Drosophila melanogaster: one gene and its partners. The protein of the gene in region 3 interacts with the protein of the main gene of each other region in a pairwise test. Each region holds a gene or a part of one and is shown on either strand. Other genes may lie near its edges.

Region 1 (3,264 bases), on a different chromosome or scaffold from region 3:
GAAAGAAGAAGACGGAAGGAGCGCCCACAACAAAAGCAAAGAGAGCAAGACCTAACGGGACACCCGAAACCAAAAACCTATCGGCACAACGACACTTTCTCAATAGCTATAGTTTTAGTTCATATGTTCATATCTCGGAAAATGGACGAGGTCTTTAGCCTACACATGGAGAAATTGGACGTTTACGACGGTTAGTATCTAATTTGCCGGAAGTTCTACTTAAACGTAGAACATATGTATATGATGGAATCTGGGTTGTATTTCTGATTAATGAGTTCATCAACTTTCAAGGAAATAATAATAGTAGTAGTAGTTGTAAACAGCTGAAGTATTGGGTATAAAATAACACTGATATGGGTAAAATCATAATAGACACTTTATTTGATTCAAGACTCGCATGATTTTAGCTGTATGAATCATGTCGAAAATAATAGAAATCACTATTACTAAATATAGATAATTTTAAAATTTAGATTCAGTGCAACATGGATACAGTGATTAAGTGTTACAATATAAACAAAAGTAAAAGAAAAGTACAACAAAAACAAGTATTTGGTGAGAAATGATAAAAACTCACCAATAATGAAAACCATTTATGTAGGATTTTAACAAACACTGTTCTCGTCTGCATGAGTGCTTGTCTTTGTAATAGAATTCGAGCAATTGCACCATTTTAATCGAAAAACTAAGATGATACACATGGTTAACAACCATGGGAAATGGCTTAAAAGTATGAAAATATAAGAAGGTAAATCAGGAGAAGCTCCTCGTTAGTCATTGTCCTTGGGATCGGGATCTGGTTCAGCGAGAATCTCCTGGATGATTCGATGGCCGTCCTCCGTTTTCTCACCCTGAATGATCAGATCTCTAAGCGTAGATATATGTTTTTCACTCGTCTCGATCTGAACCTTAAGAGCATCGTTTTGCTTCCTCAAATCATCGATGCGTTTCTTACGTTCCTCGGCCGATTTCTTGGTCTTTTCGCGTGTGCGCTGAACAGCCTGTTCCGAGAATAGTAATAAATCAATAGTGGGCATCTATTTTTGGGGACTTCTGGGGGCCACGGCGCCACAGCAACATGTTTCCCAATCTTTGCTCTCTGTTTACATCCAAAACTCTTAAACTTACCTCATTGTTTTTCTTTCTTTTTTCTTTGTACGCTGGATCGTCTGTGTGCGGACTTAATGGCGAATCGCTATTTTTGCTGGTCGACGCGGCAGTTCTCTTTTTGGCCGGCATTATCTCCGTGATAATACTGATATTTATTTAGTTCAAATTGGATCGCAATCGGACGGAAATGCAGAAGAAAACACAGCGATGTATGCGTTGTTTTGTTGTGAAATTACACGATAAAACAGCTGTTCATTAGCCCTCCCAGTGTTGCAAAATGCGCTGCCTACACTGCCCAGCCAACAAACAGTTAGCGGTATTATTTAATTAAATTAATTGCATGTTGAAAATCAATATTAAAACTCACCCAAAACCATAGCCATGGAATGCTATTCAAAAACTGTCAACCAGACACTTTATTTGGTTTGCTCAGACTTTCACTTTTTAATTTCTCAACTGTTTATACATTTTATTTGTAAAGACTGATTGCTTGTACGTAGATGTAGTTTAATGCAATAAAATTAAATGAAATGTAATACGTAATAGTCAATAAATGTTTTAAATAAGCAACAGTTAAAATTACCAACGTGTTTTTTCCAACACTCCACCCAATAAACAAATTGTGTCAGAAGTATTGGCTGCCGGCGCTTTACAGTACTGGATTATTTGCAACCGGCTTATTATTGCACAAAAATCTAGTGAAATGTCCTCGCCAGCCCCCAAATCGCCAGAGCTTTCGGATAAAAGCAAGAAATACGACAGACAAATCAGGTGAGGAGCGTTTTAATTGATAAATTCGGAAGCATAGCACTGATGACACCTATTTAGGCTGTGGGGAGAGCATGGACAGACGCTATTGGAGGCAGCCACAGTATGTTTGGTGAATGTTACGGCCGTCGGCTGTGAAACTGCCAAGGGACTGGTGCTACCCGGTATCGGAGGCTTCACTGTGGCCGATGGCAGCACCGTCAAGGAGGAGGATCTGGGCAACAAGTCGGTAGACCATCACACATTCCCTGACCACCATTATAAAGTCACTTTTTCCGTAGTTTCTTCCTCGATTCCAGCTATCTGGGCAAATCTAAAGCATTGGCTTGCATGCAACTTCTCCAGGAACTCAATCCCGACGTAAATGGCGATTATGTCGACGAGAGTGCCGACTTTTTATTAGCCAACAGACCGAACTTCTTCGACAGCTTCGATTTAGTGATTGCCTCCAATCTCAATGAGCAGACTTTGCTTCTCCTGGCCGAACGGTTATGGGAGCTTAACGTTCCATTAATCTACTGCCGATCGCTTGGCATGCTGGGCACAATACGCTTGCAAATACGGGAACACTGCATCGTGGAGGCGCATCCGGATAATCGACAGTTTGATCTGCGTCTGGAGCATCCATTCGATGCTTTGCGGGAGCATCTCGACGGCACCGAGGTGACCAGTAAGGTGCCCTGGTTGCTGGTTCTTCACAAATACCTTAATGTGTGGCAAAAACAACAAGCGGATGGGACTCAAACGCCTCGAAATTACAAAGAGAAGAATCAGTTGAAGGAGACCATTAGAGAGGAGATGAAGGCGGATGAGGAAAACTATGAAGAGGCCATCAAGGCGGTCAATACAGCCTTTGGAGCGGGACAGGTTCCCAAAAGCCTGAAAGCCATATTCGAAGATGATGCCTGCGAACAGTTAAACAAGAAGGTTGCCCATATAATCTGAATTTATACGTATACTTTACTTTCATTTGTTTTTCTTTTTTTTTTACAGAGCAACGTCTTTTGGATCATGGCCAAGGCCCTAAAGCACTTTGTGATACATGAGAATGAGGGCCATCTCCCTCTGCCTGGCGTTCTGCCGGACATGACTGCCAATACGGACTCCTATATCGCCCTGCAGCACATCTACCGCCAACAGGCGCTGCAAGACGCCGACCAGGTGTATCACAAGTGCCAGGAGTACCTTAAGCAGTTGGCTTTGCCTGCCGACAGCATTGATGAGAGAAGTGTGCGTCTCATTTGCAAAGAAGCAGCCGGACTGGCGGTCATAAGGGGTACACGCATTGCAGAGGAGTACGAGAAGAGCAGTCGCCTGCTACCACTGGGTAAAGATCTATCTATCTATTTTGGAACAACCTTAAATGACTTACCTTTCCTTGCCTTC
Region 2 (4,043 bases), about 18 Mb from region 3:
CCTCTACCCGCATCAAGAAGGACAACTAAGGAGGAGCAGGAGGAGTTGAGAAGCGAGAGGAGCAGGAGGAGCGAGAGGAGCTTGCGTTACGCTTTGTTATTTCGTCCCCCTTTTAAGTTGAAATTTGCCAACTTCTACTTCAATCCAACAGCGGATAAATTGTGTGTTTGTGTGTGTGCGGACAGCTGTCGCAGTAGTTGGTTTTATTATCTATAAATAAGTATTAAAAAACTTTTCAGTTTTCAATGCAGTTGCGGGCGTCGCAACAATTCCATAGAAATTTGTTACATTTTCCTGTTTTGTTGTACTTTTTAGGTTTATATATATATACGAATATGCACAACATACTCGCCAAGTCAGTCAGTTCTTCAAACGATTCATCATATGTAAATTATCAAAATGTGAAGTGTTGAAAAGTAAAGTTAAATATATATAGCCTAAAAAGACAAAGTTGCGCCTGGTTTTGTTATCTAGTTTTTGGGGCAAATGATAATTGAAATCATACGTGGTATTCTTGATAATTTATTTAATTATTGCACTTATAAAAAGGTTAACATGATAAACTAATATAAAATGAAAGCTATTTCAATTTTTTTCTTCTCAAAATCGTAAAGTATGGACCTTAACTTTTATAGGTTCATGGAATGACTTTGGCAAATTGCGGATATAATATAACACAAGTTTTAAATTGAATATTTAAATGAATTCCCTTTGATATTCGTTAATTCAAGTTACGCTCCCCAATGATCGTTGCCATTATCATAAGGTGAACTACTTCCGCCGCTCCAGGCACAGCATCCATTGCCATTTTGACCCACGGAGCTCTCCCGCAGCATGGCCTGCAGGTGATTAATGTAGTTGATGGCAATCCTGGGTAGGCAAAGATCATATAAATATATTACAGAGCTCTACCGCAGATACTTTCACTTACCTCAAACTCTCGATTTTGGAGTACTTTTTCCCATTTGGCTTGGATATGGGTAGCTTGGAGCGCAGTAAGTCAAAGGCTCGGTTCATGTCCCGCATCCTGGTTCTTTCCCGATCGCAGGCGGTGCGTCTATAGTCCTTCTCCATTTGCAGCGCCTTCTCCCGCCAGGCGGGATTGTGCTCTTTGGCGATGTCCACCTCAGTGCTATTGGCTATACTACCGCCGCTATAGCTCATATACATGGGCGGAGGTACCAGCTCACTGGGTTTGTTGCATTCCAAGCCCACTGGCGAACCGGTGGCCACCTGGCCAGCATGCCACATCGACACCGGCTGAGGTATAACGCTATATGTGGGTGGCAACAGACCCATATTGTGCGCTTCCTTCTCGTAGCCACCCATCACGCTGGGTGAGTAGCTATGCGGATGAGTTGGCGCATATGCCAGCAAGCCTGCTCCATCCGCGGTTAGGGTGTAGTTGAGACTAACTGCCGGACAACTGGACGATTGAGGGGCACCGAGCTCTAGAAGAACGGGCTGTTCCGATGATTCCGCCTCGCCCTCGGATCCACCGCTCAAATAGGGTCCACCGGTGGTGGCTGATACGGGCACCAAAACTGGCGGTGGATCACCCGGTACGCCGGCCGTGGAGCTCAGCAGTTGATCCGTCATCGCTTAAGCCGCTTTTCGAATGACCGATCAAGAGTTCTGGCCGGACTGCAGCAGGTTTACCTGGACTCGGTTGGTTTTTTTTTTTTTAGCTTGTACCTTTTTGTTTTGCTTACTTTTAGTTGCATTAGAGACGACTCTGGCGATCGTGATGAATGGCTCACCATCGATCCATCGATTCGAGACGTGACTACTCATCCGGGGTTGATGAGGGCCACATCTCGTCTAGTTTAAGAGGCCACCGCTTTGTACGTGTGTCAACAGGTGATCTATAGGGGACCAACTTGTCGTCGAGGGTCCTTTTGTCCCATCCAATCGCTGTGCAAACAAAGCGGCTTAATTTCCTCGCTATTGTCCGATCGATCCGACTCCGACGGCTGCGAATGGTGATCGAGGCGCGTGTGGCAGGCTGGAGTTGCGTCCGACTTATGTCGGATCCCTCTCTGGGATCAGCGATCGACGATCGTCGCCACAACTTCAGTTTGAGTTTTTCTTTTTGATCGTCGCTATGTACAAACACCCACACTGGAACTCAGCCCATATGAAAGAGTGTATTTTCGACGCATGTAAACACAAGTGTTTTGACTTAATTAAAAAATACACACATATGCATATAGCTAGTTATGAATATAGGTTCGTCTATATGAAGGTAAGAAACCTAAGCTTGGCCAATCTAGCTCCAAACTTCGCCCAATTCTAATTTCAAACTAATTTGGTTTCTCTCTAGTCAATGAAAAACCGTGATCGCCAGCTAAGTGCTCTTATAATCCTATTAAAAATTATATTACATATTCTATACCTATTTTTATGATTTTTCTTAATTGAAATAGATACTTGCTTAAAAGACTGAGATATTGAGCACAGTTTCCATTATTACTACATATCTTCTTTAATTAATAGTAATTAACTAGCAAATTATTTTTTTCTTCCGAAAATTCAGAATTCCTGAAACTATAAACCGCAAGGAAAAAACTAGAAGAATATCTACTGATAGCCCGCGAAATTCAATTCATGTGCAAGATCTCGGGTTACCAGAAAAAAAAAACAACACACAACTAGAAGTGAGAAAATTACTTACATTTTTCCGAAGTCGAGAGTTATTTTGCTAGCTGGCTAACCAGAGAGGCACCTTTGCCCGGAATCGGAAATGAATATGAGCAGAGTGTAGTTTCTAGGGAAACCTAGAGAGTTGACTTGTTTCTCTCCTTGGCTGAACGTTTCGGGTTTCCAGGAAAATGTATAGACTTGCTAACAACTTCCCAAATGTGGGTCACTGTGGTGGCAATTGCAAATCGAAGCCGAAGTTTATTGTTTTCTGCTTTATAAAAATAAACACGCTGTGTAAAAAATAAAATAAATAGCGAGTACAACGATGCATTAAGTGGGCGCCACACGGACTCAGAGCCAAGGCATAGATCAATTCTGTATAGCTATTTACATAGAAGTGCCTTAGTCGGTTCGGTGCTAAACTAATATCGCTTAGTTCGATTTAAGCTAATTTCATATAAACTGGTAGTAAGAATCGATGTCAAGCAAATGCAGGTACCTCAATTCGGCTACCGTTCTAACTTCCGAACTTCAGGGGTCGTAGTTCGAAGTACTTGTCCAGCACTTCGTCCGTAATCAGCTTGCGGGCGGCCTGATGCTGTTCCACAATGGGTGTGAGCGTCTAAGAAGATCATTTGAGCACATTAATTACAATGTTTTTTGGGAAGATTGTAGCATCATCATTGCACTTACCTCAACTGCCAGCTTCTTGATCTCGCCCGTAAGCATTTCGCCTTTGCTGTAAGCCACTCTCACCTCCTCCAACTTGGCATCGTCCTCCAGGAAGAACTTCAACAGCTGATAGGAGACATCAACTTCCGGAACTCCGCCCAGCTTGCGGTGCTCCTCCACAGATACGCGTCCTCCGGAGAAGGCGTACTTGTTGATCTTGTTCTTAATCTGCTTGGGCGTGTCCGTCAGATAAACAGCCGAGTTCTGGTCGCTAGCCGACATCTTCGTCTTGGCACCCTGCAGCGCCGGGAAGAAGGTCGAATGGATGAGCGCGCATTTGGGAAAACCAAGACGTGGAGCCACATCGCGAGTCATGCGGAAATATGGGTCCTGATCGATGGCGCACGGGATGAGGCAGTGCACCTTCCTGTTGCCGAAGATGAAGGGGAAGGTGCTGGAAATCGCGGGAGCTGCTTGAGCGGCTGGGAAACCAATCTTGCCAATGATGTCTGAGTCCCCGAAGCCAAAGATGCCCTTGACCTGATTGAAGGTAACGCACTTCTGGATGCGAATGATGTTCTGATACATGGCAGGACATTTTCTGTAAGTAATATAGATAATACAGATTATACAGGTTAAAAGTTTTTTAATTTACTTACCCCACGAATTCCAGGTTATTAAAAATGAACGTCTTGTTGACATCGAATCCAATGGCCACAATATCCTTG
Region 3 (6,963 bases):
CACAACACAATCCTCGGAGGAGCAAGAATCAACCACTAGCGCAGCGCCGGCGGCGGCGGCTCAAAGAGCAGGAAGCCAGTTGGTTGAGTCCAATTCTTCCGACGATACACTTTTCTCCGATGACTACGATCCCAGCTCGAATCTGAGTTTGAATGCCGTGAATGGAACGCGGCTACCGAATGTCCAACCAATTCCGAAAAGGCGCCAGTTTGTGCATCTAAATCGTGAAGCTATGGCCATTTATCTGGCGGGAACTACTGGGGGATAATGTTTGTTTCATTTAGGATATTTTCATAAATTAAATTTGAAATAACACTGTTACCATCTATGTAACCATCTATCGATAGTTTCCGCCATGTTATTAGCAGCAGAAACAGCTGGCTGAGCACCAGGGCTGCATTATTGTTTGTTAGTTTTGCTGTTTGGTTTTTAACAAATTTCCTGGTTTTCCCTCAAAAACCCTCTCTTATATAAATAAATCAAGTGCAAAATGCTGAGTCCATAACAACACACGTAAGTTTGTTGGCAAGCAGTGAGTGATTTCTTCGAAAAGTGCAATTCCTGCAATCTGTTATGTTTTCACAATGACTTTTATTCGATCTTAATCTAAACAGTTTAAAGCTCAAATAAATGTAATCAATTAGCAAGTATTAGCAAATGTTAATAGGCGTTGTTGTTTCTCGACGTCGCTGCTGCTGCTGCTGTTGTTGTTGTTTTTGTTGTTGCTGGCGCTGGAACTGGTCATCGATGTCGATGAAATTGGCATCCTGCGTGTTATCCTTGGGCAGCGCTGCCGGCGTCGCTGCCGCGGCATAGTAGTTTAGGCCCACGCCCACCGCCACGCCCCCAGTGACGCCTCCGGGGGGCATGGTCGTGGCAGCCTGACCCATTATAGAGCTCATAAAACCATTGGCCACGACAAAGTTTCTGAAAAATTGATTACATCAATGTACAAAATAATTTCGAGCAACCCCCTCCGGCACAAAAAAAAAAAAAAAAAAAAAAAAAAAATATGGAAAAAAATGATATCGTCTAATTGGGTCTGTGTGCGCATAAATGTCGTAAAATTAATTTCGTGTTAATTTCATGTTGGCCATCAATTAAACTAGTGACATTTCACTAAATTACTTCCGTTTCGAAAATGCAGGTATAAATACCCAGTTAAAATCCTCTTCACGAGCTATTCATCAACCATTAATTTATGTTCATTTAATATTATTTAACTCAATCAAAATCGATGATATCTTTGTACATATGAAACAGAAAAAACGATTCAAATTAGCTAAAGGGGAAACCCACCTGTAGTGCTGATCGATCTGAGCCTTTTCAATGCGTTTGTCCTTGGCCCTGCGATTCTGGAACCAGATCTTGATTTGCGTTTCGGTCAGGCGCAGCGTTTCGGCCAGCTCGAAGCGACGACTCCTGGAGATGTACTCGTTCCGATGGAACTCCACCTCCAGGCGAAGCGTCTGCTCTGTGCTGAAAGTGGTCCTCTGGCGGCGTTGTCTTCCCTCCTTGCGTCGCCTGCGAGCCACTGAAAGTCAAATACATTGATATCCTTACAATTAATACGTGTATAATATCTAGTTGGAATCAGCTTATTAGTTATGTAAACCCCGCACCATTCAGTGTGTACAATAACGACATCCGTCGGATAGCATCATTTTTTCACAGCCCACCCACTTTCGTTTATGTCCAACACAATGGAGATGTTAGAGCGAAATTAATCTTACATTAACAAACCATCAAGTTATGAGCGGGACTAAACGTTTTCGAATGTGGTTGCGTGTCGCTGCGTCAGTTAAACAAATAATTAACCACTCCGATCCGTGGTCCATCCGTCGTCCTCCCTCTCTTGCTCTCTCCGCCCGCCCACCTGCCAGAATTCGTCGTCGGTCGCGTTTGTGGTGCACATTAAAAGTGCATTTACCACGTAGTTTCTGTTCTCTATGTTTTTTTTTTTACCACGCTTTTCATTTCGGCAATCTATGCTGATCCGGGAAAGTTATAACAATGCCAACAGCTGGCTGGCCATCATCATCATCATCATCCTCGTCGAAATTCTCGGCATCATCCGCTCTTTCGAGTTTTCCATTCTGTCGTTTGATTGTTTGCATTCGCAGTGTCGCCGACGATGAAGCTCAACCAAGCGCACATTATGCCCCACTTCATCCTGCAACAACGAGCACCTGCCACCCAGGAACACCCACCACAAACACCCACACCATGGTGAATGTTGCGGTTTAGAGTCTAATTGATGTAACAAGGCGAAGCTGACAAGTTGCTCGGTGGTGTTAGGATGGTGGGGGGGGGGGAGGGGGGGTTTCCCCGGGAAGGGGTTGCTTTGTGGGCGTTGTAATCTCTAGCTTTTGCTTGATTACCCCTAGTCCGGATGGCTCTGGAGGGGCTTAAGCTCTTCCCTGATCCTTGCCGAAGGTTTTTTTTTTTTTTTAAATCACGTGTGTAATTCGATAGCCAAGTGTCCTTTCGGACGGTTTGTTGTGGCTAAAAATGAGTCTTCCTCGCTTAACCCTCCTCGCTTGCTGTTTGTGTTTGCTTTTTTAGGTTTCCTGCCGAGCTCAATTACAATGCTAATTTTTTCAGACACTTGTTATTTTTTTGAGATTGACCAAAAGTTTGGCTTGTAAGTTAGTTAATTTAAAGATCAAGTACTTATAGTAACTACCAAGCTGGTTTAGCATTAAATATATCAACTGTTCTGAATCTAAAAAATGCTTGCATATGTAGAATACGTTTCTGCTCGTAGAAAAGGTTTCAAAGTGTCTTTAACTTTGATTTCTTGCTTACGAATGGCTAACCCATTCACCCTTAACCTGCGATCATTTTCATTAGCCGACGCATTTCCATGTTTCAATATCCCCTCAACCTCATCTCCGCACCTGGCCACCTTGGCCACCTCATCAGGAGCAAACGAAAAAGCCGCAAGTAAACGAAAACTTTCACGGCTCAATGCGTTTTAATTTTTTCTTGGCATTCGGTTATTTTTTTTCCTTGGCTAATTTCTTTGCATTTGGGGGTCAGCAGCAGCAGCAGCAGCAGCAGCTCATTGTGTGGCATTGCTTGGTTGCCCCACCTTAGTTTCGTTTATTTTTTTCCAACTGATTTTACATAATCCTGGCCAGCGCACTCGGTGCGAAGATGTGGGGGATATTCAATATTGCAGCACTGACGATTAATCAGTTTTTTTTTGCGTATCCGACTTTTTTTTTTTGCAGTTCCTGCGGAACCAAGTTCATCTGGGCTGCACCTGCGCAGGCGTGTGAAATGCTCATCACTTCCTCTGGGCCTTTTCAATCGTAACTTTCGAACTCTTTCGGGGATCGGGCGGAAATGTTGGCTCCCCTGGGCTTCAGCTGTCCGCGATGCTTGCTCCTGCGACGTGGCGCCGAGCGTTGGGCCTCACTGGCCCGCCAATTGTCGGGCAGCAGCTCCCAGGATGATGCCAGCAGCAAGGATGCGGCCGCCCAGGAGGCAGCAAGTGGCTGTCCGCCCAATAGCACAACGACGGGCACTGACACTCCCAAAGCCAAAGATAAAACCACCAAGGGAAGGAAGCGGCTCAGAAACATAGAGGTAATGTTGTAAGCTAGTTGTTATCATTGCTATTATAGGTTAAATATCAGTTGGTAAGATTGTAGTTCATTAGAAAGAAAGGATCATCGATCTAGTATTGTAACACAAAACTTAGTGTAGTTCTATGAACTTCTAAAACTATTGAGCAGTATTATCGAAGGATCCAATTGTTATCACAATACTGAAATAACTTTCTATCCTAAGAGGAAAGTGGCTCAAGAGATTGCATATTATATAATCGTTTGCAGATACCTCCCGAGCCCACCACCTGCTGCATGTCGGGCTGCGCCAACTGCGTTTGGCTGGACTACGCACAGACGCTGGCCAAGCTGCTGGGCGACAACGATGAGGAGGCGCGAGAGATTGTGCTGAGCAAGATCACCGACCCGAACCTGAAGATGTTCCTCAGCCTGGAGCTGCGCCAGATGGCTAAGCAGCGGGAGGAGAAGGCGGCGGCGGAGAAAGCAGCGAAGCAGGGAAAGCCAAAGAAATCCTCGCCCCCGCCGTAGTACAAATCCCCGCTCACCTAAATATCTAGTTAGGACCAAATTCGTAGTAGCTCAAATTTACTCTTGTACTTAGTGTGTAAGAACTAAGAAACCTCAAAATAAACATGTAAGAGTTAAGGTTCTGAAGAAGTTATTTTCGTAGTTCTAAAGATTCTGCATAGCTTTGCAAATATTCTACACATTGTTAGAAACCATTCTTTTTTAAATGTAAGTACTCACGAAATGCGGAAAAGCCGGCGCTGAAGTGCGGGTCACTTGGGAAGCCGGCTGGGAATGCGTGTGGCAGGACAGGATTCGCAGCTCCACCGGCGGCAATTGCTGGCGGCGGGCTCACGTAGCTGAGTTTCTGGTGCACCAGCTGCGGCGGATGATGGTGATGATGATGATGCTGCTGGTGCTGCTGGCTAGGATGCTGCGGATAGTCCTTGGCGTGACCATAGAAATCGTAGGCGGGATATGCGGCTAGCGAGGTGCGTTCATCGCTGATGGAAATGTCTGGCGAGGAGACGCTTCCTCCATCGCTGTGATAGGGCGTGTCACAGGGCGGCGGCTTGTGGGCGTGTGTTCCGACGTCGATTTCCCCATTTTCCGAGGAGCGCGTTTCCAAATGCCCGTACAGACGTTCGAAAAACTGTCGCGGCGACGAGGGACGTTGCGGCACGGATAGAATCGTAGTGTTCGCTATGGGATCTAAGCTGTCACTCCTTTTGATGCCCGGCGAGCCGTCGGGTGAGCCAATCTCAACTTTGTGACGTTGCATTTCGTTTGAGGATGTGCCGCGTTAGCTGTCCAAACTAATCACTTGGGTAATCGGCGAGCGACTGAAGTGCCACAAATAATTCTACTTCCGCTGGTCAAGCGACGCTTATCCTGACGTCGACGTCGGCAGAGGAACTGGGTGAAAAAAAAAAACAAAGCAAATTACGCGGCACATCAGAAAATTAACAGCAGCAGCGGGGGCGCCTAAAATGCTGCTTACTAATAATAATAATAAAAAAAAAGGACCCCCTTCCCACTAAACACCTGAAGTGTGGCCTGAAACCCGGTTTGATTGGCTGAAGTGCCGTGCAATTAACCCCTAATTTTACTTCCGGCCAAAGTTTCACTTAAGGGTGGCAAGCAGTGTGCCTAAATAAGCTCCGCCCACTCTTAAGCAAGCAGTACTCACGTCTTCATACAAGCAGTGTGTGCGTACAGTCCCTGGTTTAGCCAAGTTTCTTACCTCGCCAGTGCTTTGCGAGGACAACAACCTTAAGAGCGAGATCCCTAGAGGTGGGCAATCAGCATTTGCTTCTTCAATGTATTTCATGCATTTTTCAAACTACCATAAACGGTCCGTCTAAATGGCAAAAAGTCTATATAAGCAACCGAATCGCGCCACTATCTGTAATTTTACATAGCGCGCGCGAGGGATCGAATCAAATCGAATCGAGTCGAGTCGAGTTCGTGGATTATATCAGCATGGATAATGTGTTCCCAAAACTTCGGTGCGTAAACGTGTGCTGTTTTGGGAAAGAAGTATCGATGAAGTGATAGTGATCGAAAGAACGAAAACAAAAACAAACGATTACGGTTATGTTGCCAATCCGTCTGCGCTGCGCAACCGATTTGCACGTACCGTTAGTTCGCGCAGCTGTCGCAGCCACCGAAAGTGCCAATAAAGAATAATAACAATAAACAAAGACCAACAAGTGGTGACGAAAATAAGAAAAAAAAAGGTACATCCCTTCGATTTTGGCCAATTTCGATTTTGTTTATCGAATTCCCATATCCCCTCAAACACCACAAAATGGGAGCAGTGCAAAACAAATAAAACCAGAAAAATTGCAGCGACTTTTGTTTGTTGTTTTCTGTCCGGATATTAATTGAATGGCTTTTATTTGGCCCCGGCGTGCATTTGTGTTTGTTTCTCTGACGGCTCTGAGCTGCGTTTGAGCAATGCAAAAATATTTTGTTAAAACTCGTTTCGTTTCGTTTAGAGCTTATTTGGCTTAAGCCCGCGAGTGTGTGTTTTTCAGTCGCCGACTTTTTTCCATCCATCAATTTCGGTTTTTTGTTACACTGACATATGCAAATTTTTTGAACATTTTTCGTGCGTTTTATTTTTTTGAGCTCAATTTATAAATACCTTCTGGTTGCACAGAAAAATGAAATTCAGACATGAACCTCGACTTAAAAAGTAATCAAACTGGATTGGAATCAATTGCAAAACAATCATATTTAATGAATTACAAACAGTAACCTTAAATTTATACATCAATACATCACATCATTGTGCTGAAAGACCTTAAAATAAATTTGCAAATATTTAAGCATAGTGTTTTGAGTCTTTAGAATGTTTGTATATTTTTTGTCGTGTGTAGAGCCTCTTCGGCATTTCCTCCTCCAGGCGATGTTTAATAAAGCGAAACCCACATGTTGTTCATTCTGTTTTCCATCCAAAAACAAACGAAAAAAAACAATAACATCAGCCTTTTCATTTCCATTGACATTTATGAGCGGCGCTAAGGGTGCACGCTGCCTCTCGCTCGCACGCAGAACTTCCTGCCTCTGGCCATCCCGCTTGCACATGCAGAGGCGTGGGCGGAGGCATTCGCGAGGGGCTTATTGTGGGATTTCTTTTGATTCCCTAATTCCCACCGCGGGATTTCTCGTGGGCTCGTTTTCATTATCCTGCGCATGCGCAGCATATTACGGGAAAATTGTTATGGAAATGAACGCGGACTTTTATGTTTGATTGATAGAAATGTCGCGTACTTACCAATTAACAGCGCAACAACAACGACTAACAGCTGTTGGCAATGTGTGTTGTCCGGTTACCGTTAGAAATTCGAGTGTAGAATAGTAATGCAAGTGGTAG
Region 4 (4,890 bases), on a different chromosome or scaffold from region 3:
GGGGTTAAGCACTCTATTTGGCCATTTGCTGGATGCGTCGAATGACGATGGAATTGTCTTCAGTCTGGGGATGGGGCAAAATGGGCGGGGGAGACCTTCGAGAACAGTGAAATTCGAGCTGACAATTGAGTGAGCCCATCAATTTGGAAGGTTAAGTTAGCTGGCCTGGGGCATTCCAATAATAAAGGTGTCCAATGGCACATGGTCTATCCATATTGGTAAAGTCAATCTCATTATATTAACTCAGCAAAACTGAAAGGTAAAGCATCTTCCTACAGTTATAATCCTAATCTTTTGATCAAGTTGGTATATCCTTTTAATCCGTTGAAAATCCAAGCAAAACAATCATCCGAATCCATCTAAAAACCTGTGCAAAGTCATGGCAAATCCAAACGGGCTTAACTTGGCACCTTCTCCGATCCGGGACTTTAAACGGTCTCCAACTGTTAGTATTTTGCAACTGGACATTACAATCCGCTTATGCGAAAAACGAACACCCACAGAGACGGAGGGAAAACTGCCCAAATATTGTATAATAAACTGTTGTCCAACTCAAAGATAATCCCATTAATCCGCACTGAAAATTATTAGTGTTGTGCACACACACATAGTTTCGGACAGGAAGGTTGAGATGTGAAGATCTGAAAATCTGGAGATCTCTGGGAGATCTTCAGCACAGCATGATCCTGACTCTGGACTTTGGGTTTCCGTGTGAAGGGCATGCGAAAGGCGTTAATGCTGCGTGAAATTAGATTTGCAGCGATGGGAAAGAGAAATAAAATGGCAAACTGCAAACAGAGAGTGAGATTATATATGGCCAGATCTCTGGTAAGAGAAGTAAGTGCGTCGGGGGCTTCCACGAAACTCGAGCCGCCTCGAGAGTTACAGTTTAACACCCCGAGATAAATGTGTAGCGGTATGGGCGATAACAGGCTCAAAACTGGGTCCAAAAAAAGGGCTCAAAGCAGTGACACACACGTCGCAGGACGTGGGATATGGTCGAAAGCGATTACCACACTTCTTTCACCTCGCACCGTGGTCATCCCTTTATTTTTTGTAGGAGGCGGACAGTGAGTTGGCAAGGTGCCATTAAAAATTACAACCGAAAAGTGAAAAGAAGAAACCGAAGCGAGAAAAAATGACAATAAAAGGACATAAGGCTCTGAAGACAAAGGCACCGAAGTCCATTTGATACGAATCTAATTGTGCTAATGGCGCAGAATTCCCGGGAAAAACACCCACACACACGAGATCCTGGCCTGACAACAGAACCAATAAGTCGGTGGAAACAATTAGGATGTGTGGCACTGCCACTTCAGTGCGAACAAAGGAATACCTTCGTAACCCCAAACACAAACACACCACAAGATACAAAGATACAATGCGGCAAGGTATGAGCGATCTTCCCTAGATCCATCGCAAATCGGATGGGAATTTCGTGGCCGAAGCAAGTCGATTTCGGACGCTTCTCACCTTCAGCCCGTAAGATATGACAGTTGCTCAAAAGTCGGCGCAGATTAGCTGCCAGCTGAGCCCATTTACCGTAATCGCTTAGCTAATTAGACTCTAATTGATGGAGCGCAGCGGGAGGTCCAGACGAGGTCAAAGATCAGACAGACGGGAAAGAAATGGTCGCGGGAAAGCAGTAAGAATTTCAGAGGTCACGAAACTCTTACAACAACTTTACTTCAGTATAACTATGTTAAACGAATTTCCCTATATTGTAAATGTTAGTCCTACTTCCAGAAAGTTCCCCTAGAATATGGGTTCTGATTTCTGCGATTTCGCACCAGATTCATTGGAATTTTCGCACAAGTGCCAAATCTCAGGTATTTCAAAGTACCTGACTTTGACGCAACTTTTTGAACATCTGTTGTTAGCTTGAGCCGTACTCATTGGTATTTCATAATCCAATGAAAAAAGCACAACTCCATGACTCATAGGCAAATAACTTGTACCAAAACGGCTGATGATGATATGCCAAACATTCTTGGCGATGATTTGCCGTGTTTTGTGCGTCCGCGATCAACCTTCGACAAACTAGGCTTTTTGTTCTTAATGCTGACTCATTAAACTTCTCAGCTTCTATTCTTTCAATCTGAAAAAATGCCGACGGCTTTAAGAGTTTTCAATTCCTAGACAATTTCAATGGAAAACGACTGAAACCTTTAAAAATAGAACAGGTTGAAAGTTTAGGATACAATAAAAACTTATATTTGTTCTGAAGAGAGCTCAAATGTTTTTTTAGACCAACTTTAATAGAAAATAATATTAAATAGTTTTCTTTTCGAAAATTAATGAGCATTTTTTTATGAGATACAAATTATTTCTTCTTCATTCATTTCGGAAATTAATAACACATTTGTACTATACAATGAGAGATCAATAAACTCGGTTGTATTTCAAGTAGATCACCCATTTTGGGGAATTCGTGTCAAGAAGTGCGGGTAAAAACTTTTTACAGTCCAATAGGGAAATATTCGGACTTGGCGTCCGCCATTTTGGCAAATGGCGACACTTTCTCACGCACACAGAGGCCGAAAAGCTCCGTTGGCCACACGCATGCCATATTAGACGCATCGCCCCTCTCCCTCTGGCACACTAAAGAGCCGAAGTGAGAGGCCCGGGCAGAAAGAGAGGCCGATACACGCACCCGTGTTACGTGTGGGGTTTACTTCTTCTTTTCTTTGCTCAGTTTTCAGTTGTCCAATGAAAGCGGCGTAAAACTGGTAGCGAAACAAGTGTGGAAGGGGGAAGAACGACGAACAGAAGAACACGAAGAACGCCATTGAAGAGAGGAGCTGAAGAAAGACTTACCCAATGGGATGCACTGGAGTTACGCGTTCTTCGGACTCGAGTAGAGGCTAACCGATTTCTATAGCTGAGTTTTGTGCGATTTTCGTATGTCCGCTGAATGGATAGATCGATTTGTATCTCTTTTGAAGGTACTCGCGAAGGAAATGTTACTGATGTTGTTACTGATACTGTTACTGATGAGAGGGAACTATATACGCACGCTCGAGCGGCACAAAGTTGAATGAATGAATGCTACTAATAACTGAAAGAAATAGTAGTCGCCTCTGCCGCCGTCCTCTGTCGGCGTCGCTGCCGGCGTCGCTGCTGGCAAGTTGAGGAAGCGAGATCATCGCTCTGTCCCTGTCTGTTACTCAATTCGGTGGCACTGTGTGAGTGTGTGTAAGTGTGTGTGAGTCATCCGAAGAGAAACGAAGCAAAACGAAGACCGGTAGCCGAAGCTACTGCTCATGCGCAGCGCTCGCTAGCCATCCCTTTCGCTCGCCCTAAGTTCTTATGCGTAAGTACAGAAGCTGGCAAACGGAAGCCACAAAATGGCGTCTCTTCTAACGGAAGCCAAGCGTAAAAGTCACAAAATGGCGTCACTTACCTATTGCGAAAGCACGAAATTCCGTTTGCTATTTGGCAAGACACAAATTGTATGCAATTTCTGTTTGGTAGCACTGTGTTGGGTAATATTATTAATAAAATATATTTCACTTCCGAACGCTTCTGTGCGCGAGAGTCAACTGCAAAGTTACGATCGAAAACTTCAGCTTGATGGGTTGAACTTTTTCTGTTTTCCTTTTTTTGGTTACCCTCTTTTTTACAGCCCTCTCTCGGTTGGCTGTCCCTTTCCCACGCACTGTTTGGGTCGCGGAGAACGAGTTTTGAGTGTTTCAGCTGATTGGTCGGAGGAAAATGAGCTAAAGAGCGAACTGAGAAAACTGGAGAGTGAGCGAGCGAGAGAAGGCTACCTGAGTTGAGTGGTTTCGAAGGCGTTACCTGAGTTGACTGTTAATTAAGCTTAAGTAAGCCAACATTTCAATTAAGTTTAGGCGACTAATGAGTGAAAGGTGTGCTGGATAATGCGGGCTGTAATAAGCTTGCGATTTCTTTGGATTTCCTCGGACTTCTTCTCTGTCTTTCTAGCTGCTGTTTGGCTAAAAAGGTAACTTTCTTTCACTTATACCTGTGTATATTTTTATAGATGTGGGCGTGGCTTTGGGCGGCGCTCTGTCTGTCCCACTCTTTCGCGCCGTCTCGCTCGCTCACCCCCTTTTTAACTGCTTCTTAACCCGTTTTGCGAGCGAGCGAGAGGCCAAATATAAAAACCAGTGGCAGAGCAGAGCAACCGTATTACGCAGTGCTCAATTTTTAGTGTATTTATCTTCTTTTTTTGTGGAGCTCCATTTTGTTTTCAGGGCCTGAGAAACTTTTTTCTCGCATTTCCTTTGGCTTTGCCGCCTCCGCCTTTGTTGTCGCTCTTCTGCTTGTGTGGCCTCTTTAGACCCGAAAAAATAATACTACAAAAACACCATATTGATGGTCTGTTTATCTTTTGTGCCTCACCATATCTGTTTATCTTTTACGATTTCTCAATGAAATCTGAAAAACTGTGTCGTTCATTCAGCAAGAAACTTCATTAACTTAACACCCAGTGTTTTTAATTAGGTGCGCCAGAAAAGGATTGTTTTTAATTAAGTTTTCGCCTGTCCATAAAGCTTAACAAATTATTTTCGACTGCTTTTGGGCATTTTTAAGTGCAATCCGTTGGCAACTCCACTTTGATGGCTTCATCTCTGTCCGCCTCGCTTTTGTTTCACTCCATCTGTGTCCATCTGTCTTATTGTTTTTCGGATCAAATTTGCATATTTTAAATGGCCAATCAGCAAACTCGAAAAGGAGACGTATCGACAATTGTGAGGAGCTTCCTTTTGAAGGAGAAACTAATTATGAACCCTCCAAAGAAGAGTCTGAAAAATGACTTGGCTTACTTGGCAATTTTGAAGACTTTGTTTTCAGAGGCGAGGAATGTGATGCAATATTTCACTCGATGTTGAAAGGTTGTTTGGTTCACAAAGATTATTGTATTTA

What was found.
Region 1: the proteins of ro (region 3) and Irbp18 interact in a two-hybrid assay, tested with the Drosophila melanogaster proteins (one large-scale study listed by BioGRID).
Region 2: the proteins of ro (region 3) and sage interact in a two-hybrid assay, tested with the Drosophila melanogaster proteins (one large-scale study listed by BioGRID).
Region 4: the proteins of ro (region 3) and drm interact in a two-hybrid assay, tested with the Drosophila melanogaster proteins (one large-scale study listed by BioGRID).

The regions. Positions count from the first base shown.
Region 1 is NT_037436.4:11,096,872-11,100,135, forward strand, and holds Irbp18 (inverted repeat binding protein 18 kDa), read right to left. Parts: upstream 1,316-3,264; 5' UTR 1,271-1,315; coding exon of another isoform or gene 1,240-1,270; coding exon 1,129-1,239; intron 1,002-1,128; coding exon 771-1,001; 3' UTR 575-770; downstream 1-574. Other genes in the region: CG33947 (uncharacterized protein), read left to right, coding at 142-190, 1,221-1,270; APP-BP1 (beta-Amyloid precursor protein binding protein 1), read left to right, coding at 1,814-1,881, 1,939-2,103, 2,160-2,805, 2,872-3,205.
Region 2 is NT_033777.3:9,262,144-9,266,186, forward strand, and holds sage (salivary gland-expressed bHLH), read right to left. Parts: upstream 2,000-4,043; 5' UTR 1,600-1,999; coding exon 932-1,599; intron 871-931; coding exon 732-870; 3' UTR 511-731; downstream 1-510. Other genes in the region: ATP6AP2 (ATPase H+ transporting accessory protein 2), read left to right, coding at 1-29; TrpRS (Tryptophanyl-tRNA synthetase), read right to left, coding at 3,161-3,265, 3,337-3,916, 3,975-4,043.
Region 3 is NT_033777.3:26,876,243-26,883,205, forward strand, and holds ro (rough), read right to left. Parts: upstream 4,930-6,963; 5' UTR 4,864-4,929; coding exon 4,323-4,863; intron 4,218-4,322; exon of another isoform or gene 4,104-4,217; coding exon of another isoform or gene 3,843-4,103; intron 3,595-3,842; coding exon of another isoform or gene 3,352-3,594; exon of another isoform or gene 3,237-3,351; intron 1,535-3,236; coding exon 1,300-1,534; intron 928-1,299; coding exon 651-927; 3' UTR 529-650; downstream 1-528. Other genes in the region: ms(3)K81 (male sterile (3) K81), read left to right, coding at 1-268; CG5500 (uncharacterized protein), read left to right, coding at 3,352-3,594, 3,843-4,103.
Region 4 is NT_033779.5:3,537,905-3,542,794, reverse strand, and holds the start of drm (drumstick), read right to left. Parts: upstream 3,063-4,890; 5' UTR 2,818-3,062; intron 1-2,817. UniProt on the Drosophila melanogaster protein: Putative transcription factor. May function redundantly with odd and sob in leg joint formation during the larval stages, acting downstream of Notch activation.